3 linked regions of the Cricetulus griseus genome follow. The protein of the gene in region 1 purifies or fractionates together with the protein of each later gene. This does not show direct contact. Links are inferred from orthologs where the notes say so. Each region holds a gene or a part of one and is shown in the gene's direction. Other genes may lie near its edges. The genes, in order: Faslg, Snx33 and Snx9.

Evidence for each region.
Region 2: the proteins of Faslg (region 1) and Snx33 purify together in Homo sapiens (co-immunoprecipitation; 3 studies listed by BioGRID and IntAct, counting the BioPlex papers as one, with this or other methods). This does not show direct contact. The link is inferred for Cricetulus griseus from reciprocal best matches to the Homo sapiens genes FASLG and SNX33.
Region 3: the proteins of Faslg (region 1) and Snx9 purify together in Homo sapiens (co-immunoprecipitation; 3 studies listed by BioGRID and IntAct, with this or other methods). This does not show direct contact. The link is inferred for Cricetulus griseus from reciprocal best matches to the Homo sapiens genes FASLG and SNX9.

The regions. Positions count from the first base shown.
Region 1 is NC_048598.1:30,334,092-30,344,544, forward strand, and holds the start of Faslg (tumor necrosis factor ligand superfamily member 6), read left to right. Parts: upstream 1-5,120; coding exon 5,121-5,471; intron 5,472-6,233; coding exon 6,234-6,279; intron 6,280-10,453. UniProt on the Homo sapiens protein: Cytokine that binds to TNFRSF6/FAS, a receptor that transduces the apoptotic signal into cells. Involved in cytotoxic T-cell-mediated apoptosis, natural killer cell-mediated apoptosis and in T-cell development.
Region 2 is NC_048597.1:168,445,693-168,456,343, reverse strand, and holds the start of Snx33 (sorting nexin-33), read left to right. Parts: upstream 1-4,739; 5' UTR 4,740-5,390; exon of another isoform or gene 5,391-5,686; 5' UTR 5,687-5,897; coding exon 5,898-7,368; intron 7,369-7,463; exon of another isoform or gene 7,464-7,623; intron 7,624-10,651. UniProt on the Homo sapiens protein: Plays a role in the reorganization of the cytoskeleton, endocytosis and cellular vesicle trafficking via its interactions with membranes, WASL, DNM1 and DNM2. Acts both during interphase and at the end of mitotic cell divisions.
Region 3 is NC_048595.1:286,966,194-286,976,868, forward strand, and holds the start of Snx9 (sorting nexin-9), read left to right. Parts: upstream 1-4,216; 5' UTR 4,217-4,231; coding exon 4,232-4,435; intron 4,436-4,740; exon of another isoform or gene 4,741-4,969; coding exon of another isoform or gene 4,970-4,981; intron 4,982-6,365; exon of another isoform or gene 6,366-6,380; coding exon of another isoform or gene 6,381-6,503; intron 6,504-10,675. UniProt on the Homo sapiens protein: Involved in endocytosis and intracellular vesicle trafficking, both during interphase and at the end of mitosis. Required for efficient progress through mitosis and cytokinesis. Required for normal formation of the cleavage furrow at the end of mitosis.

The DNA.
Region 1 (10,453 bases):
CCAGGCAGGGTAGGGCCTTCAACAGGGGCTCTGCAAAGTCCACCAAATCTTCCTGTGCTGGGCCTGGGCCCTTCCCCATGTGTCCAGGGCCAGAGTGTAACCCTTCACGTGGGATGGGCTCTCAAAGTCCCTTCTTACACCAGGGAAAAATGCTAATCTACTTCCAGAGGCTCCCTGGAGTGCAGAGGCCTCCTTATTGACATCCATGTTCAGGGGGCTGGATCAGTCTTGTACTGGTCTCCCAGAAAGCATCTGGGGTCGATATGCTTTCCCTTGTTCAGGTCAACTGTTTCTGTGGGTTTCTCCAACCTGGTACAGACCCATTCGATCTTCATTCCTCCCTCTCTTCAACTAAATTCCAGATTTCAGCTCAGTGTATATCTGTGGATATCTGTCTCTGCTTCCATCAGCCACTGGATGAGGGCCCTAGGATGGCATAAAGAGTAGTCATCAATCTCATTTTAGGGGAAGGGCTTTTAGGTTACCCTCTCTTCCATTGCCTGGATTGTCAGATCATGTCATCCTTGTAGGTCTCTGGAGATCTCCCTGGTTCCAGATCTCTTCAGACATATAGTGGCTCCCTCTAATATGGTATCTCTCATCCTGCTCTCTCTTCTCTATTCTTCCCTCTACTCAATATCTCTGCTCCTCCATTTCTTCTCCTCTCCTCCTCTTCTTGTGCTCTTATTGTGGCAGCACCCTCTCTCCTACCCTCATGCAATTTCTTAAAAAGAACAAAGAGGAAAGAAATTTTGCCTAAACAAGTGCCAATACATTTAAGACCTTTACAAAGTTGGTGGGCATGTTGGTGAACCTCTGTAATTCCATAATTTAAGAAAAGGAGGTAGGAGAACTGCCAGTAGGAGGCCAGCCTGGGTACATACCACACTGGAAATCTGCTTGTCTCTATAAAGAAAAAAAAAACATATCTACAATGCTATGACTAAGAGGACTATGTTATTTTCTTACCAGGATAGATAGATAGACCAAACAAAACTGAGAACTCTAAGATGGATCAATCATCAGTGGAAACTGTGATAACTATGCCACTGTGATTCAGTAGAAAAAAAGATGGCTTGAGTTGAGGAAACTGTACAAGATTTGCATTTTTAACACTTCTATAACTTTTAATTGTGTGTAAGCATGTGTGCCTCATATGTGGGTGTGTACATGTAAGTGCAGGTACCTGAGGCCAGAAGAGGACACTGGATCCTGTCGAGTTGCAGGTAGTTGTGGGGTGCCTAACATAGGGGCTGGGAAGTGCTCTTAACTTCTGAGCCATCTTTCCAGCCCCTGGTTTGAATCTGAAATGTCTTCTCAGGGCTCATGTATTTGGAGGCTTGATCTAAAATGCAAGGGGCCCTCTAGGGGCCAGGTGATTTGATCATTACAATTCTGATCTCATGAACTGAATAACCATGGGGAAGAGCTTTGTTATAAAAAGCAAGCCCTGTGCTGGTTGGCCACCATGAGATGATCAGCTTTGTTATACAACAAGCTCCCTGCCATGACGTTCACCCCTGCTACCCATCTACTGAACACACTGAAGTCATGAACTGCCTTGATCCAGTCGCAGCTGGCTCAGGTCTTGAGATGGGAAAGGGGCGTTGGCATGAAGAAATGAAATGTCTGGCAGCCGGGAGAATTTTACACAAGTGGCCTGTCCATGTAACTCCAACCATCTTTATACATAAAAAAGCATGTTTTTCCATACTAACAAACAAGCTTTTCCCATCCTCCAGCTCCAGCAAAAAGAAATATGTTTTCTCCCAGCTTTTACATCAAAACATCTTTAAACCAAAACAACACTTATCATTTTGTTAGCTTCGCCAAATATCCAGCCAAGTATATCCGGCCTTTACAAAACTAAAAGGTGATTGACATAGGCACACATTTTCAAGATCAACAATCCCGTTCAAAGCATATTTACAGAAATAGGGGTGATATAAGCATATTTACTGAAATAGGGGTAACCTACCTCTGATCCTATCAGCACCGAATTAGGATAGCTCCTGGGATGTGAAGTGACAGCTGGCATCCCCAAACTTGAGAATTTTAGGGGAAGATACTCAAGAAAAAAATGGGTTTTCTAGGAATGTTCACATCTGTCAAATGCATGATTGACAAAATGACACTAAAACCACCAAAAGAATCATCAATCATTGTATGAGAAGAGAGTGTTCAGGCCACGTGGTCTCAGCAGAATTCTGCACTGTCCAAAACTCCACCAGTCCTTGCTGAGTGCAACTGTCCCGGTGGGCTTTTGCCTCATCTGGAGACCCCATATGGACAAGCACTCATATACTGGTCTGAAACTGTGCAGCATGGCTCCCAACCATGAGCCAAATCAAACTTTGTCTTTTAAATAGATTTCTCTTTTTGTCACATAAACACATAGACAAAAATATAGACTCCTGACTCATAAGCAAAAGTGTGTATTAAAACCCAAATGTGCAATCTGCATGCATTTGGGAGAAGACATTTGCAATATCTGAAAGCAGCCATGGCTTTACATCTAAAATATCCATAAAGTATAAGAAAATCCTGCAAATCAGATGGAGGAGATAAACAACTTTTAATTGGCAAACAGAATATGCACATAACAAGAAAATGGATTGCCCAACAAATATACAGCTGATGTTCAAACTCATAAGGAACCAGAGAGAAGGCAAGTAGTAGATGGTGAGATTATCTTCATAGGCATAATATGCTTGGCAAAAATTATAAAGGTGGATGCTACAGAGCAGAGAGCAAAGCCCAGGCTAGGATGGTCCTTGTAACTGCTGGTGGTGTCAGGGGATTGAGCTGCCAAATGAGCATCCTGGAAATACTTAGAGAACTTGACCTAGTAGGCTCACGCTCACAAATAAACTCAAACTTGGAGTGTACTATGGTCTTTGCTTACATTTGCAATCTTCCTGTCTACTTGGCAGATTGCCTTGGAGGGTTTCTCTGGGCTAGTTAAAAAAAGTAACAGCAGGTTTTCTGACTGTGCATCCCCCTGCTGAGTCACCTCCAGAGCTCTGGTCTGTAGTCTACTGAGTCAACTTTCCTGCAGATTCCCTGGGATAGTAACAGTAGGAGACTGAGAGAAGTCAATCAGCTTGAGGTTCCAGCCTGGCGGTTCTTGATTAGTTTTTCCTTCAGCAGCCACAGTGCTAAGTTCTACTTCAAATGACGATTTCTTTTCATTAATAAGGCTTTGGTACCCGCCGGGTGTTGGTGGCGCACACCTTTAATCCCAGCACTCGGGAGGCAGAGGCAAGCAGATCTCTGTGAGTTCGAGGCCAGCCTGGTCTCCAGAACAAGTGCTAGGATAGGCTCCAAAGCTACACAGAGAAACCCTGTCTCAAAAACCACCCCCCCAAAAAAATAAGGCTTTGGTACCAATGTGATGGGTCTTGTGACTGTTCACAGAGGTGTTTCTTCTTTCTCCATCTTGCCTGGGGGAATGCTGGATTGAACCACCAAATTCCAAACCAGTTTCCTGAAGTTCTCTTGTCTCTTTCATCAAGGGACTCCTCTCCTCTCCCTGTGATTGGAGGGCAGTAGGGGTTAGGAAGACCTGGCTTCTGATTCCTCTATCAAAAAAAAAAAAATGAATTAAAAGAAGAAGGGCAAAGAGAGACATGGAAGGACAGAATGACGATTATCAAAGAACACTGGGAGTCTCAGGTAGGAAAGCAAGGAGAGACCAACCAGGGCCAACAGTCATGGGAATAGTGAGTGAGGTGAAAAAAAAATAAGGCAGGCATGGATGACTGGAATCATGAGATTGCCAGCAGAGAAAGAGGTTGGATTTGCAGCTGGGGTGAGACAGGGTGACAGCAGCAGGATAATGACACTTTAGGTATAGGTTTGGCATAAAGGAGAAAGTCAGGTGATCATCTCAAAAATCCCCAAATATGAGACAAAAACTATGAATATTTAAGACATAGAGCTTGCCCCGAAAGACAGAATATAGGAATTTCTGGAATTTATATGGCTTATATGGGAAAACGCTGGAAACAGAGGCTGAGTTCTTAGAACTTATTAGACATAATGCTGTGTGTGTGGCCAGAGTGAAGTCAACCCAGGCAGGGCAGGCAGTTTTAGAAAGTCATAAGATATATAGCTGATTTTGCTGTAATTGCTGAATAAAGTTTTAGCATGTTCTGTGTGACGGTTAAAGCCCATATGCCATAAAAATTATTTGTTGTTTATCCCAGTCTCTTCTGAATTGGGCACCTGAAGTTTCATCTGGTGACCATAACAGGGATTGCAATGATAGATGATTACAGAGGCTTGGAAAGCCACTTCTCAGGGGAAGTGGGATAGGAGGCACAGTGGGGCAGCGTGGACCACCTGAGGCACATTCCTGGTGGCAGCCAACTGGCGTTCAGAGATGGCCAGGGATGCCTAATATTCCACTGTTTTCAAAGAGAATAGAGGTATGTAGTTTGAAAGTGAGCAATTAATGGAAGAAAAGACACTGCTGATAGGAAAGCAGTCTTTGTGGTACTACAAGACACATGGGCCCGTGGTTTGCAACCTCTGATCTAATCTGTGGGAATGGGTGAGGCAGGTTTTACCTTCTGAACTATGAAATGATGGTGACCTGCAAGGCTATGGTGGTAGGTAGTACTCGGTTGAGGGAAGGAACAGCAACAGGGGATTAAATTCCCCATGCAAAAGCTAAGATGTGGAGATAGCTTCTGTAGCCGAACTCCATGGTTTTTCCTCTGAGCATCAGCTCCAAAATGCCACACAGTTCATTTCTTGCAGCTAGAGAACAGCTCATGTTCTCAAGGAGAATCCGGACCTCAGGCACTTCTCAGCCACCTCAGGCAGCATAGAAACGCCAATTGCATTTCGAAGACTTTCGTCAGAAATTTGTGGGCGGAAACTTCCTGGGGTCGCTGAGAGCTTTTTGAGGCTTTTGAGCTTCAGATGCAAAGTGAGTGGGTGTCTCACAGAGAAGCAAAGAGAGAGGGGTGTTTCCCTTGACTGTGGAAACTTTATAAAAGAGAACGCACTCACTTATCTTCTCTGGAACAGTCAGCGTCAGGAGTCCTGTTCTCCACATTTCAAGAGTCTCTGCAAGATTGAGAGAAGAAAACCCTTTCCCAGGGCAGGGTGTCATGCAACAGCCTGTGAATTATGGATGTCCCCAAATTTATTGGGTGGACAACAGTGCCACTTCTTCTTGGGCTCCTCCAGGGTCAGTTTTTCCCTGTCCATCCTCTGTGCCTGGAAGGCCGGACCAAAGGAGACCACCACCTCCTCCACCACCGATACCACCTCCGTCACAACCACCACCATCACCACCACCCCCACTGCCGCCAATGCCACCTCTGAAGAAGAGGAAGGACCACAGCATAGATCAATGGCTACCGGTGATATTTTTCATGGTTGTGGCGGCTTTGGTTGGACTGGGGTTAGGAATGTATCAGCTCTTCCATCTGCAGAAGGAACTGGCAGAACTCCGTGAGGTAAGCCTGGCATAGGGATCAATAAGGCCCCAAGTCCCTGGGTGCAACATGACTCTGCTGCATGTGGGCCACTGTATTGCTTGCAATGATTTGCGTTTTTTGTTTGTTTGTTTTAACGGTAAAGATAATTTTAATCCCCTGCGTTTTAGGAAAGGGTTGGTATAGTATTTCTATTCCACAGTTGGAGAGACATGCTCACTCCCTCAAAGACAGTGGTTCTCAACATGTGGGCCATATGGTCACGACCCCTCCGGGTAGTTGAATGACTCTTTCACAGGGTTTTCCTGGATATTAGATATTTGCATTATTGTTCATAACACTATCAAAATTGCACTATCAAGTAACAATGAAATAATTTTATGGCTGGGGATCACCACAACATGAGGAACTGTATTAAAAGTTCACAGCATTAGGAAGGTTGACAACCACTGGTCAAGGGGAATATTTTCCATCATTTAGAGATCTGAGGCAAATAATTATTCCTTTCTCCGTTGTCAAGAATGCCATAAACTTCTTATAGCTTCATATTTAGTGATTCAAGGAAAAAAATCAATTTTGGATCTTGATTGGAAGTATAGACTAAATCTGTTTGAAAAGATTTGGAATTCTTAGTACTACTCCAGATACCATTGTGTGGCTCACATCTAAGTTGGGCCAGGATCTGAAGTATCTGAGTTCTTTTTCTAGGGACTGATGGGATTTTTCTGACAGCTTGGCTTAAATAGCTCCACATTTATTGTATGAATCTTTCTCTTTTATCAGCTCACCAACCAAAGCCTTAAAGTATCATCTTTTGAAAAGCAAATATGTAAGTACTTTTATGTATGTCTTTTGAATTCCCCAAAGTGGTCCTCAACACTGAACAGAGTTGGAAGGATGCCTGGGAGTCTCCCCTTTCTTAGGCTTACAATTCCTTTGCAAGATCCTGGGGAACTTAGACTCTGCATTCAGTCCGGTTCCGTGAACTACAAAAAAAATTGGATGAAGTTTATTGCTCAATAGCCATGTATCTGAATGAACACTGCATATAACTCAAATGAACTTGGGCTTGACTTTTGAAGGAGACATACAAACAGCCCTGGACTTTTCCTTTTGCCCCTTCCCTGGGTATCTTGGTCCCATCTCACATGGGTGGCTGTGACTCCTCAAGACAGAAAGGGAGTAGAGGCAGACACAAATGTTTCTGGAGATGTCCTCTCCTCCTTTTAAACTAAAAGTGACTACTCAAGAATGAAGATGTATTTTTAAAATATCTTGTAAGATATTTTAAATAAATTTTAAGTAAACCCATTGTTTTCCTTAATGTTTTCTTCTGAAATTGTTAGGTATTTTGGGAAGACTTTAGCCATTGTCCACAGGACTGTACACCTTCCCCACAGAGGACTTAAGATGCCTTTGATGAGTTTGATGATAAAAACACCACACACATACACACACACACACACACACACACACACACACACACACACACACACACTAGATCCAGGCTAAGAGGAAGATGATCAGTTTGAACATAAAATCTCAGGGCATGGTTTTTAGGGATTGAACAGAGATATGAGGATCTGTTTTTATATGTCTTGGACTCATGTTCACAAAGCTTTATATTTCTTTTGAATTGGAAAGGAACTTAGGGAGAAAGTGATCTATTTTCCATTTTCCAGGAGAGATACAAAATACTATACCAATTAGGTTCAATGCCCATGTCTTCTGGTATGAAGCTGGGTACAGGAAAACAGTCCCCTTATGCCTTGTTTCTGATTCACAGAGAAACTCCCACCTCTCAATAATGGCCCTGAAATGATGCAAAGCAGTTGCCTTTGCAAAAGCAACAGGGCAGTTTTATCCTACAAACTTTGAAGAAAGTTGAAAGGCAACAGACAACAGTGGCCATCCATTAAGGAGAGTGGGCTCCATACTCAGAAAGTGAGCAGTCAGCTCCTGCCTGAGAATATAAGCTCTTGTAAGGGCCACCATGGTGTGCTCTGGTTTTCAGCTCAGTGTTCAAGTCTCTAAGCACCAGAAAGCCCAGATTACACAGGGACAGTGGAAATAACTTGCTAGAAAAGTGAAACCTCTCAGGGTTTTTAAAGTAAAATCACTTTGAAAATCAGTGGAACGAGGCTTGTGTATAGGTGTTAATCACTCCCTGTCACCCACTCCATGGAGTCATTTTTGTGAATAAAAGTCAAGTGGACAAATGAGTCAGGTCTACCTACCCCAGTAGTTATCTTCTTTATATCAATGTAGATGGCCAGAAACTGATAAACTGTCACAAGAAAGTTAAAATTATCACTTTGCTATTAAGAGGGGCTGACTTAAGGAAAGGGGTATTTATTTCTTCCTTCAAATTCACAAAAATAAGAAAACAAATTACAAATATGTGTGAGAAAAAAAGGTCATATCTGGCACAAGTTTCCTCCAGCATGCATGGAAATTGTTGTAAGTACCATGAAGAACATAGGAAAGTTCATTCCAAGGGCTTGAACTGTTAGTCTGCTTTGTAATCTCAACACTAAAAGATTCTCTTAGGAAAATAGTTGGAGATAGATAAAATAATTTACATATATAGTGTTCATCTCTTTCTCTCTTTTTTCTCTCTTTCCTTTCTTTCCTTCCCTCCCTCCTCCCTCCTTCCTTCTTTCCTTCTTTAAGGTGTGAACCACCACCACCTGGCTTTTTATTTTTTAAAAAAGATTTATTTATTTATATTTTATATCCATTGGTGTTTTGCATGCATGTCTATGTGAGGGTGCCGGATCCCCTGGAATTGGAGCTACAGACAGTTGTGAACTGCCATGTGGGTGCTGGGAATTGAACTTAGGACCTCTGGAAGAGCAGCCAGTGCTCTTAACCTCTGAGCCATCTCTCCAGTCCTATTCATCAGTTTCTTATAAAACAATTTGGAAGAAACCTAACCTTCAGAATAGGAGATGAGTTGAATACACTGTGGCACATGAATAATACACCATTATGAATGGCACAAAAACATCTAGTAGAACCACCTAGGACTTTTAATGTCATAAATATTGTGCACTTTACATTGTTAGGTAAATAGTCAAGTTATCAAAGGCTCTTTTTAGTTTAATACTCATTATGAAATATGTATGCATGTTTTTAACTTCTAAGAAAAAAACAAATGAATATAGAAAGTGATTGTTTTTTTTCTGGAAGACACTATAGTTATCATAGATTTCTTTCTTCCATTTAAAATACTTTTTCAAACAATTTAATAATCTTATTGCGTGTTTACATACACATGTGCATATGTATTGCCACAGCTTGTGTGTGGAGGTCAGGAAACAACTTGTGGGGATTGGTTCTCTCCTTTTACCAGTGGGTTTGAGAGATCAAATTCAGTCCTCAGGCTTAGCAGCAAGCTCCCCAGCCATCTAATCAGGCCTATTAATTCTTATGCTTCTATCTTCTCCATGGTTAACTAATTGGATGTTTTATTTATATACAAGGTTTCTAGAGAACCTTCTGTGGCTGAGGCTGAGTCTTGGTTGGTGTTTGAGAATGAGAGAGATAAAGATGGAGGAGTGCTCTCATGTATCTTATAACACAGTGGAGAAGATGAACAAAAACAAGTCAACAATACAATTCCAAATAGTATTAAGAGTGATCCAAAGTAGAGTGGTCTGGAAATCCTTTATAGGGTTGTCTATGCTGATGCACATGGAAGCTATCAGAAGCCTCTCAAAAAGAAGAGTTGATGTATGGGTCATGGAGGAGGAAGGACATTCCACATTGCACATGCAAAGAGCCTGGGGCAGGAAAAAGACTTTCCTCATATTTCTAGATATTTCTAGGACCTGTCCAGCAGACATTTATAAGAGTATATTTTATGAGAATAGCATTGTACTAGGCTCTATGAGAAATATAAATCTAAGCAACATGTGGTTCTCTGCTCCATTTCCTGTTAGTGCATGGCAGAATGCCAGGTCATCTACTCCGGTGGTTTGTGGTGTGTAAGAGGTCCAGTCTTGCCTATCCTTTCCCTCACACTTCCTTCAAGAAGGGTTGTTCTAGGTGCTAGAGAGGTCACAATTCTTTAGATAATATTCTCAGTAAACAGGTATATTTTCACACCCTGTGTGTGTTTTATAGTCTAGTCCCAAATCTAAGGTGGACAAGCACCCTCCTATAAGTGTTTTTTTTAATGTGTTAGTTAGCTGAATTCATGAAGCCCAGTACTATATTTTTACCTTAACTGAGGTATTTGAAGTCAGAGAAATAGCATTTATTCAAAAAGATATTGTCAGTTTTAATGACTTCAATTTAATTTACTGATACTATGCTAAACAAGGCTAAATGCTCTTGTTACTTAACTATATAGTAAAATGGCATTAGGGAAAGACTTGGTAGCCAGGATCCCAAAGTCCAGCAATGTTAGTACTAGTTTAGATCATAAAGTGATTATTCCAGAGAGCTGCTATTTTCCTGGACAAGAAGGAAGTAAAGGCAGTTTTTATAGTTGCCCTAGGAGGGAGGAGCCATAACTATCAAGAGAGGCAAAGACAGAAGGGTCTTAGGCTTTGAAGGGTGAAGGGCCATATTTGACAAAAAGTGTGGAAGGGTTTCCCAAAGGAAGAGGAGTGTAAGATGGTCACTAGATAATTGACAGGAATTTAACTCAGAGATCTCATTTGGAGGGCGTTCTGGACAGAATGAGCAAAAGCCCAGGAGCAGGGAAGAAGGGGGCATAATCAGTTCATAGAACCCATGCTGTGTGCAAGTGTTTGATGGGATGGAATAGAGGGAGTAAGACTGATACCATGTAGAGGAACTCTGGCTAAGGCTACATGATGGAGTAAAATTGTGGACAACCTCGTGATAGATGAGGAGGTCTTAATATTATCACCTTGGAAATAGATTGTAGATTGGTGCCCAGGAGATGAATCAGTAGTCTACAGGTCAGCAGAATCAGGGTGTACAGACCAGGGATTTACAGTCAGCCCAAGGTGCCCATTGCATCCACCGTT
Region 2 (10,651 bases), on another chromosome or scaffold:
GCCTCAAATTTATGGAGATTTGCCTGCCTGTGCTCCAGAGTGCTAGGATTAAAGGCACATGTACCATGTCTGGTCATTGTAACTCTGTTGATAACTCCTGCCTCAGCCTCCCAAATTCTGGGATTACAGGCAATCACCACCATGCCCAGCTTTTGCGAAAATATTTTCAAATATGTGATCACCATTCTAGTCTAGTCTGCCTCCAAAAGGCCTTCCAGCTTTACTTTGCCCCGCCTTTGTCCCACTACAGGCTCTTATTATTGCTTCCTGTGTTACTAAAGTAACAGTGTGCCTTCCATACTACCATTTAGTGGGCTTCCTTGCTCATTCCTAAACAATGACAATCCATCTCCAACCTGTGCATGAATGGGGCCCTACTAGCAAAGAGAACATGTTCAATTAAAGGGAAGAAAGGACACAGCACTGTGGTGCTTGCCCTTAATCCCAGCACTCAGGAGGCAGAGGCAGAGGCAGAGGCAGAGGCAGAGGCAGAGAGGCAGAGAGGCAGAGGCAGAGGATCTCTGAATTTGAGGCTAGCCTGGTCTATGTGAGAAGTTTCAGGCCAGCAAGGCTACATAGTGAGACCCATCTGAAAAAATAAAAATAAGAAAGAATAAAAATAAGAATGAGGGCCAGAGAGCTAGCTTGGCTCAATTTTAAGGACCAGAGTTCAGATCCCACTGTGTGGCAGAATTCCCCCTGGGCTACCTGGTCTGGCTCCCAAGTGCTAGCACCAAGCCTTAATCCATCTTTTGTTTACCAGTTATCTTTTGTTTCTTGTTTCTTTTGTTGCTCTCTGTATGAATCTTGCCTGAGAGTTTCCCCAAGGGAAACTATGCAAAACTTGGTTGGGGGACAACTGCAGCACCTCCTTAATTGAAAGGATTTATACTTGGCATCATTCCTTCCTCAGGATGTTTTGAGGATATGGAAATCAATTTGCTAAAGTGTAAACTGGAGAACAATAAAAAAAGTCCTGGGAAAAAGAAAAGAGGCTCAGTACTTTGAGACAGATTCACCCTGCAACTGAGAAAAGTAATCAGTAATCTCAGGATGTATGGACGGCAGAGACTAGACTTGCTGAATCTGTAATCTTTGAGCTGGGTGCAGGGAAATCATAAGGGTTAGTGCACTTTACTAGTAACAATGAGGCTGTTCCCCTTAGACCTGAAGAGGATCCCTGGGATTTAGTGAGTAGAGGGGGTTCTGGAAATTTCTGTAGGCCGAAACACTTGTTTTTCCTAAGAATTTGGAAATGAGGGTAGCCCCTAAGATTTAGAAAAACTATACCTAGAGCATATAATAAATCCAAGTTGGCTGTGTGTGACTGGAGTGTTTGAATGCAAAGTAAAGACGATATAGGAAGCAAGCTTGTTGTCACAGTTACTCAGGAAACAGAGGCAGGAGGACTACAAAAAGGTGTGCCTGGATTACAGAGCCTTCATTATGTGCAAGTTGGAGGGGCAGACTGGACCACTTGAGACCTTGTCACAAAAACAAAGCTGGGTATTATGGTACATTCCTGCATCCCAAGCACTTGGAAACAAAGGCAGGAGAACATTGCAATTTGTAGCTTAGCTTTGTCTCATAGTGAGACCCTGCCTCAAAAAGAAAGGAAGGGAGGGAGGGAAGGAAGAGAGGAAGAAGGGAAAGGAAAGAAAGGAAAGAAGGAAAAGAAAGAAGAGTGCACAAACTCTAGAATCTGGGTAGTTTTACTCAGGGAAAAACAGCTGTAAAGCAAAATGAATTTTCACATCAGTAGGTCAAGAGTTGGGATTGCTCCTTGGGAAGCTCAGTGGCCAGGATAGCCCACGACACACACACACACACACACACACACACACACACACACACACACACACACGTCCCCATCCCCCACCCCTGCCATACTGTAGCATGAATAATAAAAACCTAGAGACAGATAATGTTTAAGCTGAAGATCAGAAAAGCAAAGCAGCCAAGCTGCTAGAGAGTTCTTACCTCTACCAAGGCTAAGACCAAAGGGGGTGGGGGGTGGGGACACTATCCTGTCCTCGGAGGACTGCCGACTGTAATGTTCTCCATCAAACATCAGACTGCACCAAGACTGCACTGAGCTCCTGCCTTATAATGTCCCTGGTGCTGGCATCAAAGGTATGAGCTCTGTTTCTCTTTTAGACTGATTAACTCTCATGTAGCCCAGGGTGGCCTTGAACTCACAGATATCCATCTGCCTTTGTCTCCCAAGTGCTGGAATTAAACGTTTGGCCACCACTGCCTGTCTGTCTTCTATGGCTAACTAGTGGCTTACCTCTAAAACACGTGTGTGGTTAGTTAGCATTCTGTTCTTCAGGCAAACTTTAGTTGTTAGGTTATAAACAATATATAACTACACATATGAAGAGCCTTGACTCTAAAGACTCCCAGCTGCTTTCTTTTGTTTGTTTTGAAAGGGTCCTGCTATGTATGTAGCCCTAGCTGGACTTTTCTAGAACTTCCTAGATAGACCAGGCTGGCCTCAAACTTGTAAAACCTTCCCACCTCCGCCGGAGACATTCCTCTCCCTGCTTGAGAGTCTCTTCTTGTTCACAGACCTTTCTCCTAGTTGAGCCTAACAATAACAACTATTTCTTTAGTGGTTGCTGGGTACTAGGTACTGTTGTAGAAACTTCCTTCCATACAGTTGCTAGGCTTTCTGAAGTATAGGCCTATCCCACCTGCCCCTGTCTCCCAAGTTCTAGGATAAATGTGTCTACCACCACACCCAGCTATTTTTTTGTTTGTTTGTTTTAGATTTATTTATTTATTACATGTACACTGTTCTACCTGCATGCCAGAAGAGGGCACTAGATTGAATTGTAGATGGTTGTGAGCCACCATGTGGTTGCCGGGAATTGAACTCAGGACCTCTGGAAGAGCAGTCAGTGCTCTTAACCTCTGAGCCATTTCTCCAGCCCCCAGCTAGTTTTTTTGTTGTTGTTTTGTTTGAGAAAGGGTTTCACACTGTAGTCCAGCCTCCAACTCATGGTAGTTCTGTTTCAGCTCCTGCCCAGTTTTTAACTTGGTAAGATCTCGATTTGTGTCCCAGGCTGGCCTGGCACTCACTATGATGGCCACAAACTTAGGATCCTCTCCTCCCATGTGTGTCACCACGACCAGCTATTAGTAATCTTCAGAGAGTCAAATCCAGATTGTACCAATGAAAACGAGTTTTGAAGCCAGAGGTCTGGGAATCATGTCCCTCAAAACAGCCAAAGGTCCCAATTTTAGCAGCACTAATTTAAACTAGTAGGAAACTCTAGCCAGGGGGCGGTAAACAAGGCTCCAGGGCTCAGAATTGAAAGAAGTCTGGGCTGAAGTCTTTGTGTAACCTCAGACGTCTCCGAGGAAAAGAGAAGGTCCTTGATATGTGTTCCACTCAGGCTAAGTGCCCTCCCATGCATTTTCCACAGCACTGGATACACTAGGCAGGAACATCTTGCCCACCTGTGCAGATACTTAACGCGCTTCCAAAAGGGAAGCACAGTTTTCTTACTTTGTTGTTTTTCCAGGGCTTGGCAAATTATTGGTACTCGGTTAATTTGTTGTTTGGAATATACAATTTAATGAATGAGACAGATTGGGTGAATTAAAGACCAAAGGGGCACGGCAGGAATCCAACCATTGTGCTATTTGCTCCAGAATTTAGCACAATTCCTCTCCTAATCTGCTCACCGCGTTTTGCATAAATCGGTTCACCGCGTTTTGCATAAATTGGAGGGTCAAATCCTGGAAGCCTAGAGGCTATCTACCAGATTACTCCCTCTCCTTGGTGTTGCTGGCTGGAATTTAAGACTCAGTTCCAACGAAAGGAAAAGGCAACCCAGAACCCGCCTGTGCCTAAGTTCCTTGCCACTGCTGAAGTATACTCTTGCTCCCCACCCCCACCGAAGGAAGCTGCCCAAGGCAGGGGTGCTCCTGGCCCAATCAGGCTCGCAGCATCCGGTATCTCATGCGGGACACCAGGGTCGCACAGTTTGCTGCCTTCCCCTCTGAGAACAATCCCGTATCTGTGCTAGTCACCAGATTGATCAGAGCAAGCAAGGCGGGTAAGGAGGCTGGGAAAGGGGCCTCCGCAGGTCGCCTCCCCTGAAGCCGGCGCGGTTCTCCTAGCCCTTAGCTCCCTCCTTGCCACTCGGCGCTCGGCAAACTTTCGGAGTTTTCCTGCAATTGCGTCACGGAAAAGGCAGGCGGGTGATCGAGGCCAGGAGGCGAGGCCCCGCGGCGGCTGACGAGCTCCACCGCGCGGCGCTCCCACCGGGGCGAGAGGTGGCTTTCGGCACCGGCAACTCTGCTGCTGAAACCTTGCAGCTCCCCGACTCCCGGTGCACTTCCCGAATCCCAGCCACCCGGACTGAACCCGAGGGTGGGAGGGCGCCTGCCAGAAGGAAAGAGGACGGAGAGCGGGTGGTGGCACCCTGGCCTCGGGAGGGCGGAGCTGCGCGGTCCTTGCTCCAGGACGCGCGGAAGTGCTGTGGAGTTTGCCCAATTCCCTAGCCTGATTTCCCTCGCTCATACCTCCCTCCCTCTCTCTCTCTCTCTCTCTCTCTCCCCACCCCTCACCTCCCCTGCTGCTTTCTCCTCCTTCTTCGGGACGCCACCTCCTGGACTCCTTTTCCTTCTTTTTTATTTTTTTTATTTTTTTGTTTTGTTTTGGACCTGGCTTCCCGCTGGCAGCGCTGAGGAGTTGCAAGTGCGGTGGAAAGAGGCAAGAGACTAGGACTCAGCTCATCCCTCTCGGGCCGCATCCACAGGGCATCGCAGAGAACGAACCGCCGGCCGGCCGGACAAACAGCCGGTCGCGCCATCTATTCGACGGAACTCCATCTACCAACTACTGTTGAGTGTTTGCTGGCACACCAGTGGTGGTGGGGGGTGATGGTGGAGGTTTCCACTAGTGTTACTTCTGGACAGGGGTTCTAGGACTCCGATCAGGGTCAACTTAGGTACTCCGAAACTGCTGAGGAATTAAGCAAACAAAAGAGGCAGAGAGAGAGAGAGAGAGAGAGAGAGAGAGAGAGAGAGAGAGAGAGAGAGAGAGAGAGAGAGAGAGAGAGAGAGAGAGAGAGAGAGAGAGGCTTGTCCCCCCCTTGTTCTCCGAGGGTAGGGGCTATTGCTGGGCGGGAAGAGGGCACCAGAGCGGGCGAGGCGGGGTCGCACCCCCTAGATTTTGTAGTTATCTGCTGGTTGTGCAAGCTTTTGGCCCTTGTTTTCCCTGCCTGGCTCGTTTGGAGGCCGGACACATCCACCCTTGGAATTGGTTCAGGACTCTGCTGTTATTCTCCTTGCCCCTCTTGGATTTTCTGGATTCTTGAAGACGCGGTGGCCTGGGAGGAGAGAGGAAGGAGGAAGGAACAGATCTTCAGAGGAATGTGAGAGCCTCCCAAAGCCGGAGCTGCTAGAAGGAGCTGGGAGCTGGGAGCTGGGGAGGCAGAAACTAGTCTCCGATCCTGGGACCTTGTTCCGGGGCCGATTCTTTTCTGTTGTACAACATTGTTCTAGTGGAAAGTGTCTGTCGCTTTGGATTCTTGTTCTAGCAGAGCTGTTTTCTTCAGGTCATTTGGCTTTTCTACTTGATGTGAGAGGAGGGAGAGACTCCCTCCTTCTCAGGGGCTGCCAAGGGAGAAAAGAAAAACTGTGGTCATGACCAATCTCTCCCTGCTTACAGGCAGATACCCCAAGACTGGATAAGTCAGTTTCTGGACCATGAACATTTCTTTGAAGAGAAGGCAGCTAGACAGTTTATGCTGAGACCCTGCCTGGGGGTCTGAGTAAGGTATAATAGACTTTGAGCTGCAAGTACACTTTTGGGCACCCTGCTGAGCATCCTGGGTCTGGGCAAGGCATTTCCCTTCCAGTCTTGACCAGGTAGCCTAGCCATGGCACTGAAAGGCCGAGCCCTCTATGATTTCCACAGTGAGAACAAAGAGGAAATCAGCATCCAGCAGAATGAAGACCTGGTTATCTTCAGTGAGACCTCACTGGACGGCTGGCTGCAGGGGCAGAACAGCCGTGGGGAGACAGGGCTCTTCCCTGCTTCTTATGTTGAGATTGTCCGTCCTGGCATCACCACCAACTATGTGGACTACCCTAGCAGCCTTGCAGGCTCCCTGAGTACCCAAGTGAGTTTGTATAACAGCTCTAGTATGGCCAACCCAGCCAGGAGTGGTGAGGGCAGTGGCTTCCTCTCAAACCAAGGAAGCTTTGAGGATGATGATGATGATGACTGGGATGACTGGGATGATGGATGCACAGTGGTAGAAGAGCCAAGGGCTGGTGGCCTAGGTACCAATGGGCACCCTCCACTCAACCTCTCCTACCCGGGTGCCTACCCCAGTCAGCATATGGCTTTCCGACCCAAGGCACCCTTGGAAAGGCAGGACAGTCTGTCATCTGCCAAGCGGGGCAGTGTGGTGGGACGAAACCTTAATCGTTTCTCATGCTTCGTGCGCTCTGGGGTGGAGGCCTTCATCCTTGGTGATGTGCCCATGATGGCCAAGATTGCTGAGACATACTCCATTGAGATGGGCCCTAGGGGCCCTCAATGGAAGGCCAACCCCCACCCATTTGCCTGCTCTGTAGAGGACCCCACCAAACAGACCAAGTTCAAAGGCATCAAAAGTTATATTTCCTACAAGCTTACACCCACCCATGCTGGCTCACCTGTTTACCGGCGCTACAAACACTTCGACTGGCTCTACAACCGCCTTCTACACAAGTTCACTGTCATCTCGGTGCCCCATCTGCCTGAGAAACAGGCCACTGGCCGCTTTGAGGAGGACTTCATTGAGAAACGCAAGCGACGACTCATCCTCTGGATGGACCACATGACTAGCCACCCAGTGCTCTCTCAGTATGAGGGCTTCCAGCATTTCCTCAGCTGCCTAGATGACAAACAGTGGAAGATGGGTAAACGCCGGGCAGAGAAGGATGAGATGGTGGGTGCCAGCTTTCTTCTCACCTTCCAAATCCCCACAGAGCACCAGGATCTGCAGGATGTAGAGGACCGTGTGGATACATTCAAGGCTTTCAGTAAGAAGATGGATGACAGTGTTCTGCAGCTTAGCACTGTAGCATCAGAGCTGGTGCGGAAGCATGTGGGAGGCTTCCGCAAGGAATTCCAGAAACTAGGAAGTGCCTTCCAGGCCATTAGCCATGCCTTCCAGATGGATCCTCCCTTTAGCTCTGAGGCCCTCAACAATGCCATTTCTCACACCGGCCGGACCTATGAAACTGTTGGTGAGATGTTCGCTGAACAGCCCAAGAATGATCTCTTCCAAATGCTTGACACACTGTCTCTCTACCAGGGCCTGCTCTCCAACTTCCCTGACATTATCCACCTGCAAAAAGGTAAGCCCTTCCTAAGTGTGGTGTTCTGCTGTATGGTGACAGCCTGTATGATGACAATAGCTCATCACATTTTCCTGTCTCCATCTCTATTGCAGGCTCAACAAATGTATTGAGATGATTCTGTAGAGAGTGCTGTTGTAGGCAGAGGGATATTGTGGACAGGTTTGGTCTTTGTTCTCACTGAACTTGTGTATACCATGCTGGCCACTCTGGTTTTTCTGTGTTTCATCTGCTCCATCACGCATGGAACCACAGGTACAACAACCCTGGGTTCTGGGAACACAGAGATAACCAGATCCCAGATTGTGCCTTATATGAACCCCTGGTTCAAGGGGAATCAAGACACAGACACAGGTTGCCTTACCCTCTCATAGGCTCAGCTCCTACCTTTGAGGCATTTGAGCCTAGGCCCTCCCTCTACCCTGTCTGCTAGTCTCTCTGTGCAGGAGATCTCTGTCCTCATTTTGCAGATAAGTCTGTGTCCACAGCACAGTGGTTGTGGCTCACATGGGACTATCCCTTCCTCCCTCCAGCTCCCCAAGGACATATCCATATTGGCTGCCTCCCAGGCCCATCATGTTTTCACTTCTCATGGCCCCCTGTGTGGAGGAGGGACAGGATGAGCCCCTGCCTGTTGCTGCTGTTAAGGAACTGCCAGCGAAGTGACTCATCCTGGGTCACATGGAGCACTAAGCTGGGCACAGGGGAATAGAACCAGAGTTCCAGGGCTCTGGTCACATGGGCCAGTGTATCTTCCCTTCCCAAGCTGGGCTTCTCTTGCATAAGAATTGAGTCAGGGGCTGACCTAACAGGTGACTTAGTCCAGACTTAGGGAAGGCAGAGTCAAGAGAGAGGTGTGGTCCTCCCTGGGGCTGGTAACTCAGGAAGAATATATCAGGGCGTGTGGCAGCTCCCAGTACCCTAGGCCCTGAGGTCAAGGAGTTTTACTCTGGGCAACCCCTCTGGTTTGAGTGTAGGGAAAAGCAAATGTTACCTCTGCCCTCAGGCCCCTGTCCTAATCATGATGGTGGCTGTCAGAACTCTGTCTGGCAGCCCTCATCACCTTCTCCTTTACCTCTTTTGTTTGCTGAACCCTCACATCTCCACCTACTTTCTTTCCCTTTCAGCCCCAGGGAATCAAAGCTTGAGTTCTAGCCTGGCTTGACACCCAGTTTTCCTTGTGTCCCTGATTGGGAAAGGCCTTTGCCTTCCTGGACCTTAGTTTCTTAGGCCTTTCAGGTAGAGACTTCTGGGGAAAGCCTGCCCTGTGCCTCAGGCTGGTCCCATAGATCTTCCTTTGCACTCAGAGAGGGGGCCCAGCCTGGCAGGAGCAGACGCCTCCCGCCTCCCTGTGCGGAAGTGGAGCCACACACCGTGCTGGGCCTGGGAAAGCTGGTTCAACCAGCTCCTTGGATGACATGTTTTTGTGTGGGCAGCAAGAGGCTGGGCACAATGATTAAACAGCTATCCCAACACAGTCGCTGGAGACTCTCACTTAGGGCAGAGTTGGGGCAAGAGAGACAATCACAGGTTCACACACTGAGTGTCCCAGACTCTCACCAAAGAAGGGGAAAAAAACCTACATTGTCCTTTCTACCTCAGACAGTTAAGAGAAGCCATGTCTCAGTCTCCACTTGAGATGTTTCCTAGAGTCAGGGGCTTCTGCCTTCTGGGGAAACCGGGCAGCCTGAAGCAGATGCTGCCAGAGGTCATTACCCTGTATCGGCCACCTGCAGTGCAAGCCCTGCTTACTCTAGGTTCTAAGTTCTAGCCTGAGTCTAGAGTGAGTCTGAGAGGAGGGCTTGGAGTTGATCTAAGAGACAGAACTGAGCAGGCTTTGGAAACTGCAGGGGGAGAACATCCTGTACTAGCCTTGTAGATAGAGACTTTTCTCAGAGAAAGTAACAGGATGTTTGGTCCTGCTGCACAGGATTCTATCTGTCCCATCTAGACGTTTGAACAAATTGTGAGCATGTGAGAGAACAGTTGGGGGAGGCCCAGCCAGGCCGGGGAGGCAGGAAACAGGGCCAGTGGCTGGTATGGTCCCTTCAGCACTGAGGTGATTTGACGGCAGAGTAGGTATAGGGCCAAGTATGTTGGAATCTACTGCATCAGGCAGATGGAGGAGGGAACTTCCCAAGGGCTGGTTAATTGGGTTTGATGGTACAGAAGGGAAAGGAGGAAGGAAGGAGGCTTGGACTTCATAGTCTAGGACCACCTCAGTTGGTATGCTTGTGTTCCTGAGGCAGGTCTGGGACTACAGAGCATCCTTGGGGGACCTTGGAGCTTGTGGCTTACCTAAAGCAGGGCAGTTCCTGTAGGTACAAGCTCCTGACAAGGGGACAGATAGGTTCAGCCTTATAGAATTCTTTCTTCACCTCAGCAGTGATTGCTGCTGCTCTGCTCCTTTAGCTTTGCTGTTGATCATATGTATCGCCATGTGTCTGTGTTTGGAGCTGTATATGTGAACATGAGTGAGGGTACCCACAGAGGCCCAAAGAGGGTGCATCTCCTAGAGTTGGAGTTACAGATACTTGTGAGCTGCCAACTACACTCTGGCCCTTTGCAAGAGCAACAAGTATGTTTAACCATCTTTCCAGTTCCAATAGCAGCAGTTGCTCCTCTTTCTTCTTTTTTGAAACAGGGTCTTTCTTTGTACCCCAGGCTAGTCTTTTTTTTTTTTTTTAAAGATTTTATTTATTATGTATACAACATTCTGCTTCCATGTATATCTGCACACCAGAAGAGGACACCAGATCTTATTACAGATGGCTGTGAGCCACCCAGGCTAGTCTTAACTCTTGTTTGTGTTTTGTTTGAGACAGAGTTTCTCTGTGTAGCCCTGGCTGTCCTGGAACTCACTCCGTAGACCAGACTGGTCTCGAACTCACAGAGATCCACCTGCCTCTGCCTCGGAGTGCTGTGATTAAAGGTGTGCACCATCACTGCCTTGCCTCAAACTCTTGATTGTCCTGTTTCAGTCTACTAAGTGCTAGAACAACAGGCATGTTCTACTGTTCTTGATCTGCCTAAGCTATTTTAATTTTTTAAATATTTTATTAATTCTTTGAGAATTTTATGCAGTATAATTTGATCATATTCACCCCTCTCTCTTTCTTCTAATTCTTCCCAGATGCATTCACCTCCCTACTCCCCATTTATTTATGTATGTATGTATGTATGTATGTATTTGATACAAGGTCTTATTAGATAGCCATAGCTAGCCTGGAACTCTCTATGTAGACCAGGCTGGTCTCAAATTCTGTCTCCCAAGAACTGGGAT
Region 3 (10,675 bases), on another chromosome or scaffold:
ACTATGTCTGCCTGCATGCCACCATGATGATAATGGACGAAACCTCTGAAAATGTATGCCACCCCAATTAAATGTTTTTCTTTTATAAGAGTTGCTGTGGTCATGGTGTCTCTTCATAGCAATAGACACAGTGACATACCTCCTCCAACAATGCCACACCTCCTAATCCTTTCCAATCAGGTGCCCCAACCATTAAACATTCGAACATATGAGTTTATGGGGCCCATCCTCCTTTATAACCCCGCTCTTGAGTATTCCATCTCCAGAATTTATTTATTCTGCAGATCTGAAATTTATACCCTTTGACCAATATTCTCTTTTCACCACTCCAGGCCTTTGGTGATCTTCCAAAGAGTTACTAGAGCTATTTTGTTCCTAAGGGTTCAACTTTTTGGATTCTAAAAAAAAGTGAGATTATACAGTAATTGTTCTGGCTTAATTCACTTAGCATAATGTTCTCCAGGCTCTTGCATATTGTCACAGATGACAAAACATCCTTTTTATTTTTAAAGAATCATCTATTGATGGACATTTGGATGGCTCCATGTCTTCTGATTGTATGAATTGCTATGAACACGGTAACAGAAATTTCTCTTTGGATATGTGCTCAGAAATGACATTATTGGATCGTATAGCTGTTCTATTGTTGTTTTATTTATTTTTTTGAGTAATCCCCAAATTGATAACTGCTTATCAATTCTCCATGGTTAAATCTAAAAAGAAAATCAGGAATACAGAAATCATTCACATGGTATGCTAGTGTCTTGTCACAGTTACCAACACCTAAAATAATAAAAAGGGGAAAGACTCATTTTGAATCATGGTTTCAGTCCGAGGTCAGTTGGCACATTGCTGTTGTCTCTGTGATAAGGTCAAACGTCATCGTCAGATGGACATGATAGATCACAACTGTTCACCTGTGGTGGCCAGGAAGCAGACACCATACAACCTTGCTTTTTTCCCCCTTGTGCTGATATGGTGAACATTCCTAAGACCCACCTGCCATCTGACTTTCTACAAGATATGTGGCAAGCACCAGCCCCACAAAGTGACCACCACTTCAAGAAAGGCAAGCATGCTTTGTATGTCCAGGGAATACACAGTGTTCTGACAGGAAACAGTGGCTGTGGTGGGCCGACTAAGCCCATTTTCCACAAAGGACTCAAACTGCTGACTGTGCTGAGACCTGAGTGTGAGCCCATCTGCAGATCTGAAAGGATGCTTCCTACTCTGAGATATGAGCACTGTGACTTCCAGGCGGTGAGAAGAGAAAGTGACAAGAGGTCCAGCTCTCAGCTGGTTTTGTTATGAGGGGAAAAAAAAAATCATGAGCTGTTATTCAAAAACAAAAGCAAAGAAAATATAATCTACAACAACATGCTTTGGTGATCTACTTCTTTCAACTAGGCCCCACTTCTAGAAAATTTTACTGCATAATAATTAAATTACGGATCCTTCAATAGATTAATCCATTCGTTAGTTTAGCTAAGCATTCTCATGATCTAATCACCTCTCTTACAACAGGATATGAAGCCTTTAATGCATGAGCCTGGGGGAGACACTTCCTATTTAACAGGTGGGAGAAGCTGAAACTTGATGCCTGAGCCGTTTGAACTTACAAACAGGTTTCTAGAGAGCCTGTCTTCCAAGGTGTGACACTTGAACTTTGTACCTTCCCATCAAAACATGCATGTGGAATTGTTGCAAAGAGGTATATCCAGCCTTTCCACTTGAAAGAATATTTCTAGTGTTCCTTGTGTTCAAATGTTGGCATCTTACACAGCAGTGGTTTTTATTTATTTATTCCTTAAAAAATTTTAAAACAACTTTTTCCTTGTTTACCAAGTAAAAAAGTAAATTAAAAAACTTTTTACGCTGGGTGGTGGTGGCACACGCCTTTAATCCCAACACTCTGGAGGCAGAGGCAGGCAGTTCTCTGTGAGTTCAAGGCCACCCTGGTCTACAGAGTGAGTTCCAGGACAGCTGTCTTAAAAACAAATAAACATAAAATTTGAATTTAAAATGGGGCTGGAGAGATGTCAGTAGTTAAGAATACTGACTGCTCTTCCAGGGGTGCAGGTTCATTTCACACAAATGATGACTTACAACCATCTGTATCACTAGTCCCAGGGGGCCAATGACTCCTTGGCACTTATACAAATTAAATATTTTTTAATATATAAACTCATGCTTTAAAATAATTTCTTAGCATGGCTAATAGTATTGGGTTAAACTTTCCAGGATTTTCTGGACTTGTACCTCTTATTTCTATGTTCTTCACACAAATGGATTGTACTGTACACAATGTTCTTTTTCATCTTTGGCAATATTCAAACTACTGTTTGCCTTTGGTGATGGATGGATACCAGACTCCCTATGAGCATAAATTCTGAAAATGTTCAAGTCCACTTACAGATGTCATAGTGTTCGCATAGAACTGTTCTGAATCCTCCCATGTATTTTGAACTACGTATGGTGCAAATGGTAGATAAATTGCTGTTATTTTGTTTAGAAAATAATGCATGAAAAAGAGGTCTGTACATGATCAGTGCAGATACAATTTTTCTTTTCAGATAGTTCCAGTCTGAGACTGTCTGAATTCAGGGATGTGTGAAGATAAAGGAGTGATTGTCTTATCAATTTATGAACCTCCAAGAACTTAATTTGTATAAATTTGCCTTATTTATCGGGACAGTCCTATTAACAAGTATATAGGTGTTTTCTAGTTTGTCTTAAAATGCTTTGGTAATGTCTTTGCTAACTTGCCCAAGTCTGACAGGATGCATTCCTAGAAGTTGCTGGGCCCAAGGCTGTAGTTACTTCCAATTTTGTATTCCCAACTCAGGTTAAGTTATTTGAGCCATCCTTTGTTCATCATTGTAAGTAATTAGATAATAACTTTCTCAAAGGGCTAAGTGAGATGGAGGCTTCAAGTCTAGTATGCAGAAAGAAGGCTCTCAATGACTTTCCTTGTCCTGTGCTTAGAAAGACAAGTCTGGGCTGCCCAGATGGCTCAGCTGATAAAGGCACCTGCTGCCAAATGTGACCACTTCAGTTTGATCTCCAGGACCCACATGGCAGAAGAAAAGAATGGACTCCTACCAGTTGTCCTCTGAGCTAACTCCACACGTGCTATATGTATGTACCCACCCATGCCCAGTGTGTGTGTGTGTGTGTGTGTGTGTGTGTGTGTGTGTGTGTGTGTGTGTGTGTTAGTTGTTTCACTGCTGTGATAAAACACCATGAAAACCAACTTGATGAGGAAAGGGTTTATTTTGCTTACCCTTCCACATCACAGTTTCCATCTAGGAAGGAAATGAGGGCAGTAACTCAAGGCAGGAACCTGGAGGCAGGAACTGATGCAGGGGCTGTGGAGAGGGGTGCTGATTACTGGCTTGCTCCCCAAGACTTGCTGAGTCTGCTTTCTTATGTCCGCCGGGACACCTGCCCAGATGCGGTACTTGTCTTTCATCAATCAAGGAAATGTACCACAGGCTTGCCTGAAGGCCAATCTGGAGGAGCTTTTCTTTCAAGTGAGATTCCCCCTTCCAAAATGACTCTACCCTTTGTCAAATTGACATAACTAGCCAGCACTACACATACACATAACACACACACACACACACACACACACACACACACACACACACACACACTCGCTCACTTAAGAATATAACCGTGGCTGACTATAGCATTGACCATGAGTTCAATATACACACATTCACAGAAAACTCTATAGTACCACCTAAACACTATTATTGGCTGTAACTACCTAACTCTCTGGGGAGTCAAAAATTTTTTTTTTCCAGCGCTGGGTGGCAAACCCAAGGGCTCATACATATTTGTCTTTCATTCTTCAACCCCCAGACCAAGAAGCTACAAATCTGACAGTGAATTTAAATAACAACTTCCTGAGGTAATAGAATCGACTTTATTTACCTAGAATATGTATCCTTAATAAAAAATATAATGTATTAAACTATTGCAACAACTAAGGCAAATCTTGCAGGGGCGACTTTTGTGAAAAATCTCATTGCTCAATTTATGTCACCCGTTTATTAATAAAATCCATATAGAATCAACTGTGGACAAACTACTCTGAATTAAAGACGTTATACTTTGGACTTCTCTTTCAACTTAAGGAGACCGGTTGTTCCCTCAAACCTCTGAGGCTTTTTTTTTTTTTTTTTTTTTTTTAATGCTCCAAAGGGCAGAAGTGGGTCATCTCAGAATGGAGTCCCTAAGCGTCCAGGCCAAGAAGCCCAGGCCAGACCTCAGCCTTGGGGAAACTCCATGTAGGAGGCAGGATCTCCCAGCCCGGGAGCAGGAAGCCATTGCTCGGCCCGGGCTGGCTGTCTATGTGGCACTCGCGGTCGTCAGCCCCCAAGCACCCCGACCCCTCCGCAGCAGCCCCGCCGAGGCCCGGGGATCCCAGGCAGGTAGCTCGGGCCCGGACTCGTCCAGAGTCGTCGTCCTCCTTCTCCTCCCGCAGGCAGCGAGCCGGGCCCGAGGCTCAGTGCCGCACCCCGCGAACGGCTCAGCCGGGACCAGGCCGCTCGCAAGCTGCTCGCCTGACTCCGCAGCCGCTGCTCCCGCCGTGGGCCCCGCACACAGGGCCTGGGGCGACGGGGTCGGGGCGGAGGCCTGGGCGGGCGAGGAGGCCGGGCTGCGGCCGAGGCCCCAGGCGCGCTTCCGCCGGCCGCGCCGCGCACGCCGCGGTCCATGGGAGGCTTGGCCGGCGGGGGCGGGGGCCGCGCAGCCGGGGACTTTCAGGAACTGCAGGCGCGGGCGGCGGGAGTCGCCGAGCCGCGGGGGCCGGAGCGCCGAGAGCAAGGCTGAGATCGAGCGCCGCGCCGTGCCCGACCGCAGCCGCCAGCCGCAGCCGAACCCGTCCTCCCCGCCCGGCTAGGGCCGAAGCTCCGCGGCGCGGGACACCAGCCGGCCCACCGGGGCCCGGGAACCGCCCGCCATGGCCACCAAGGTGAGGGGCGCGCGCAGGCCGGACCGGCCGTTCGGCCCCGCGGCGGGAGGCGGAGGGAGGCCGAAGAGCCCCGGCGGTCGCTCACGAGTCGGTCCCCGCCTCCCGGGCCGCCGCCGCGGGCACCGAAGCGGAGGAGCGCTGGGGACGGGTTCCCGGGGAGGCGGCTTTGCAAAGTTTGCACCTGAGCTGAGCCGGGCGCCCGGGATGGAAAGTTCCCGCGGCCCCAGAGCCGCGGGTCTCTCGGAGGCTGTCGCAGGTCGCCTGCCTGCCTGCCTCCTCCTCCAGACCGCGGCCCCGCGCACGAGGGGGCCGAGCCGGGCGGGGAGGACGCTGCAGCCTCCCGGAGCCGGGAGCCGCGCTCCGCGCCCTCTGCCTTCAAGTCTCTCATTTTTTCGTTTTGTTTTTGCTGTCTTTTCGGTTTGAATGGGACGTTTTCGGAGTGAATAAAGTATCAAGAGGGAAATGACTGTGCTTTTAGACTACGTGGTTGCTCGCAGAAGAAAAACAACAAAAAGGGCCAAGGCCCGAAATGCTTAGTGGAACTTTGGTTCCTGCTTGGTCAATGGCCAGGAGTCTTGGCTTGCTTATGTTAGTTATGTTACTGTTTGTGAAATTAGCAGTCCGTTTTTGCTGTCTGAGTCTGCATAAATTCGTTTCCCTGGTTCCCTTTTCTTATGTGATGTCAGTAGTGACTTGGGCATGAAACAGCCACTGGGAGAAGCCTGAGCCTTGGAAATGAGGAGCTCGGGTGGGGAGAAGCACCGTAGGTGAACCCCTGATGATCTGTGATGTGTGGGTAGTACATTAACTTGTTTTGATTATGTCACACATCAGCATATCTTCCCACATTTATTTTTCAAATATCTAAGCCACTCTGGGTTGATGAAAACTTTTTAAGGTGGGGGTTTATGGAAGGATAATTTAGAAAAATGTTGAGGAGTTTGAAAGATCAGAAAGAAGTGCCTGATATCCCTTAGTCTCTTGAAGTTGGTGCTCAGATAAATTGCGTGTTCTGAATCTGTTTAGGTGGTGTGTTTATACAGAAATGAAGCTTCTCCAGGGAACCCGCTACTGTTGCTGTTGGAATAATTGCCTTGTTAGTATATCTGGGCTGTGTTGTTGCTTGGTTTTATTAGACATGAACCAACTGGCCATCTCTTTAACATACTGATTTTGTGACCACCTTGTTGGAAATAAGTCATAATTCAAGCAAAAGATTTTCTAAGGAAATTTGATTTTGAGGTTTCTTGCCAAACGTTTCAGAAATTGCAAATCCAGTTACATCGTTATCTTGCAGCCTTGACAGTGGTTTGTGACATAAACCCTGTTCAGTAGGGGTCAGTTTGTAACCCCCCCCCCCTCGAGGCAGGCATGCCGACTTTGGCTTAGCAGCTAATGCATGCTTAATGAAGTTTATTTCCCGGTGAAGCTTGGACTTAACGTTTCCAGTGAAGAACACAGGCATCATTGTACTGAAGTAGGGTTGCCTGTGACCTCATTGAACACGAGTCTCTCAGCCTATGTAAGCATTTCCTAGTTGGTTATCTGCTTCTCTGGAGGCAAATTCCAGCTCTCCTGGCCCTTGTTGCCCTTCCCTACTTTGCAATCACAGTTTCTGGTGGCGTGCATTCCCACGTGGACTGGATGACAGACCATTGCTGTCTGAAGAAGGGCTGGCCGGGGAGCCCTCATTAGAAGGGAACCCTGCTGCAGTTTTCTGGCTATCCTATTCCCAGATGTCAAACCAAAGCCCCATTTTTCAGTTGTTTCTAGATAGCAAAGTTGTCGTCCTTGGTTATCCCAGCCCCAATACACACCCCTCTCTTTCCTACAGCTGAACAGTTGGATTTTTCTCTTTCTGCCCTTTCATCATGGAGGAAGGTGGTCAGATGTACTTAGTAATGATGATGGACTATTAATAATGTTTTAAGTCCAAGTGGTACTCGGGCTTTTGCTGGAAGAGCTAAGTGTTGGGAGGTAAATGTTTCATCTGGACCTTTGAGGAGGTAGTGCTGGGATTGCCATAGTATTTACCAGAAAAGCAGATTCTCTGCAGATACAGTTTCCGTCTTCATTGTTCTTAATGCACGTATCTCTGAAGTCCCATTATTTCTTAAATTATTTATTTTATTTATGTGTATGGGTGTTTTGTTCACATGTACATCTGTGTACCACATGCATTCCTGGTGCCCAGGGAGGTTAGAAGAGGCCACTGGATCTCCTGGAACTGGAGTTAACAGTTGTGAGCTTCCATGTGGGTGCTGGGAACTGAATCCTGTTCCTCCGGAAGAGAGCAGGCAGTGCTTGTAGCCACTGGGCCGTCTCTCTAATTGTCCTGAATCTTATGACTTTTCAGAGCTCTTGGTAGAGTCATAATAGAAAAAAAAAAGAGATCTTGTAGAATAACTTTAGTTGGGCAGTTCTTCATTGCGAAGGACAGATAATCAGTGACTGTACATTTTAAAGGGATGGTCCTGGTTTTGTTTCTCATCTCGGTAGCATGCTGAACTCTGCTTAGGTGAGCACACTGCTTAGAGAGCAGTCATGTCTCATTTAACAAATACAGCGACAGGCCGTAGGAGCGCTTCTGTCTTGACATCTGTTAGATGTCTCCTGAGATTATGCTCTGACATAATCCTGCAGTGAATTTGAGTAAACATTAGCTCACTTCAAAGATCAAGTCTTGAGAATTTTTTATGTCAAAATGAACATAAAATAATGAATGTCAATTAGCCTATATCCATATGATTAGCTGTAAGTTCCATACCAAATTAATCTTTGCTAATTGATTTGGATCCCTTTGTGCTTACATGGTCCCCTGGAATAATAAAATTTACCTCCCCTTCCAACTTCACTTTTCAGACCCAGTACCTGACATTACACATATGTGTTAATGCAGCTTTTGGTTGAATTGAGTGAGTGTGGAACATTAGAGGTCTGGGTAGATGAGACTCTTCACTGGACTATATCCATAAGGACAGTTTAGAAAACAACCTTGCAGTCTCTCTAAGCAAAAACCTCTTTATTTGAATAATAGAAATCCTACCTGAAGAGTCTTAAGAATTATAGCTGAGGGGCTGTGTGGTGATATTTTGTTATGATCTAATAAAGCTTGCAGAGCTAAGCCACTAGTTAGCCACACACCTAAGCCACTAGTTAGACAGTGGCTAACTAGTTAGACAGGCAGTGGTGGCTACACCTTTAATCCCAGCACTCGGGAGACAGAGGCAAATAGATCTCTGTGAGTTCAAGACCACCCTGAACTACATGAGAGTGAAACAGAGCTCACACCTTTAACTCCAGCACTAGAGAGGACTAGAAGGCAGGGGCCCAGTGCAGTACAGTGTGCAGTCTGAGGTTTGGTGGAGAGCATTGCAGTCTATAGTCACGCTGAGGACAGGATCGACCCCTTTTGGTCTGAGCCTTGGTAGAGTTAAGGACTCTGTAGTGGCTTGGCTGCTTTGCTTTTTCAGTTTTTCGGTTTTTTTTTTTTTTTTTTTTTTTTTCAGTTTGAACCCCAATGTCTTTCTTTGGGTTTTTATTAATCATGCTACAGGACTGAGATTGGTGTAGTTGGTGAAGTGCACATGCATGGGGACCTGGGTTCCAGAATCCTAATTAAAAAAGAAGAAAAGAAAGCCAAGAGCTCACACCTGTAGTTAGAGCACTGGGAAGACCTCACTGGCCAGCCAGTATGACTCAGTCAGTGAGCTCCAGGCAGTTAGACAGTCTCAAAATAAGATGGAGAACAAGAAAGGCAACCTATGTGACCTCTGTCCTCCTGGCCTCCACACATACATGGACATGTACACACATGTATGCATGCACGTGTACATGCACACACACAAGACTTTTTTTGTAGTTGTTTTGTTTTGACACAGGGTCTCACTATGTAGCCCTTACTGGCCTGGAACTTGCTCTATAGACCAAGTTACACTCCCATAGATTGCAGGCCTCTGTGTCTGAGTGCTGGGATAGCAGGCATATGCCACCATAGCTAGCTGATTTGTATAATTTTTAAAATGGTGTAGGAGATGCTTCCTAATTATTGTCTTGTAATGGTATTTTATGTCTTAAATATCTGTGTATGTGCAGTCAGAGAAAGATTCTGTAAGGATAGAAATGAAATAATTTTTAGTAAAGGAGGAAGAGATTAGAAAGTGTAATAGTTTTGCAAACACTGGTTTTTTTGTTTGTTTTTTTTTACTGTGTTTTGCATTTATATTGATCATCTGAAAATTAAATAACAGCTTGGCTTTAACTGCTTAAAACTTGGTAGCTCTTAACAGAGTGTAGCAGTCCCTCTGGAATCTTAGTTCTGGGGACATAGAGACATGAGGATCTAAGTTTGAGGCCTGTCTGGGTGTGAGACTGTGTCAAGAAAGCCCTGACGTGGTTTGTATGCTGTTCCTTCCTGTGTGCCTTCTCTGTGCACGTGAGGTCTTAGCCCAGAGCATCACTTCCTAGAAGCCTCCCATGTCGGTCATCTCCTGGTACAGGGTCCTGCCATCCTTCCCAGCTGCCAATTTTGTGTGCATCCGTAACTGGTGCTGCCTCCTAAGATGCTGTGGCCCCTGGAGGCTGGAGTTGTGTTTGCTCATCTTTGTGTCCCCAGCATCAGTTTGGAAGAGCACAATGATGGTCTACTGACACAGTGACCCATACATTATAACTTATTAAAGCTATAGTTAATCTCCAACTCTAAGTTAGCAACTCTTTTTAAAAGTATACATGCACAATGCAAAAAATTATACCTGCAACTTAGGTATTAGTAATGTTTTGAAATACAATGGATCTACTCATGAATATGTAAAAAAATTGATTGTTAGTGTGTTACCATGGCTGGAACCAGCCTCACACTTTGAGACTTCAAAGGGTAGTTAGTTTCTAACCTGTGAGTTGTCAGCATTATGCTTAAGATTTCCCCATTGTCTTTTGGTTGGCTATTTCTCATTTGAAAGTGTTATTCAAGGAATCTCATTGATAACTGGTACTGTAGCTAGAAATTTGTTGAGACTAAGCTTATACTTAGGAAGCAATTTGGCCATGTGTTTTCTGTGTGCAGAAAGGGTCTATTAGTTCTCTGTATGTATGTAGTTAGTGAGTGTCCATTAGGCTGAACTTGTTAAATATGCTGTTCACATAGCCTTACTGATTTATATTCTGTAGTTGGTGGAAATCCTAAAATGGGCTGTTGCAGGAGAGGGGATAAAAAGATTATCAGAGCCAGAGGACAGGAAGCCCGCTGTGATGTGCTGTCTTCTAGACACTATAGGAAGCCTTACCCAAACATTTCAGTAATGTGGTTGCCCAAACAGCCTGCATAATGACCACACCAGACAGCATACCAATGGGGATGGAAATTCATTGGGCCCCACCCACAGGGAAGAGTTTCCCAGCCATTCAGTGGCTGCTGAGGGAGGGTGAGTCAGGGCTAGGCCTCTTCGGGGACAAGAAAGACCCTTGACAGGTTACCCAGGCTCAAGTGGTCAGCTCTAAACACAGGCATGTGTGAGCAGCAGTGAGTGTACTCAGGTGTCATAGAAGGAGAGTTCTGAATCAGAGTGGGTGGGTTGGAGAGAGAATGGAGGGAGGAATGGAACTTATAAATACAGCATGCTTATGTATGAAGTTCTAAAATTTATAAAACAAAACAAATATAAAACAAAAGAATAAATAATTTCTCTAAGTTTA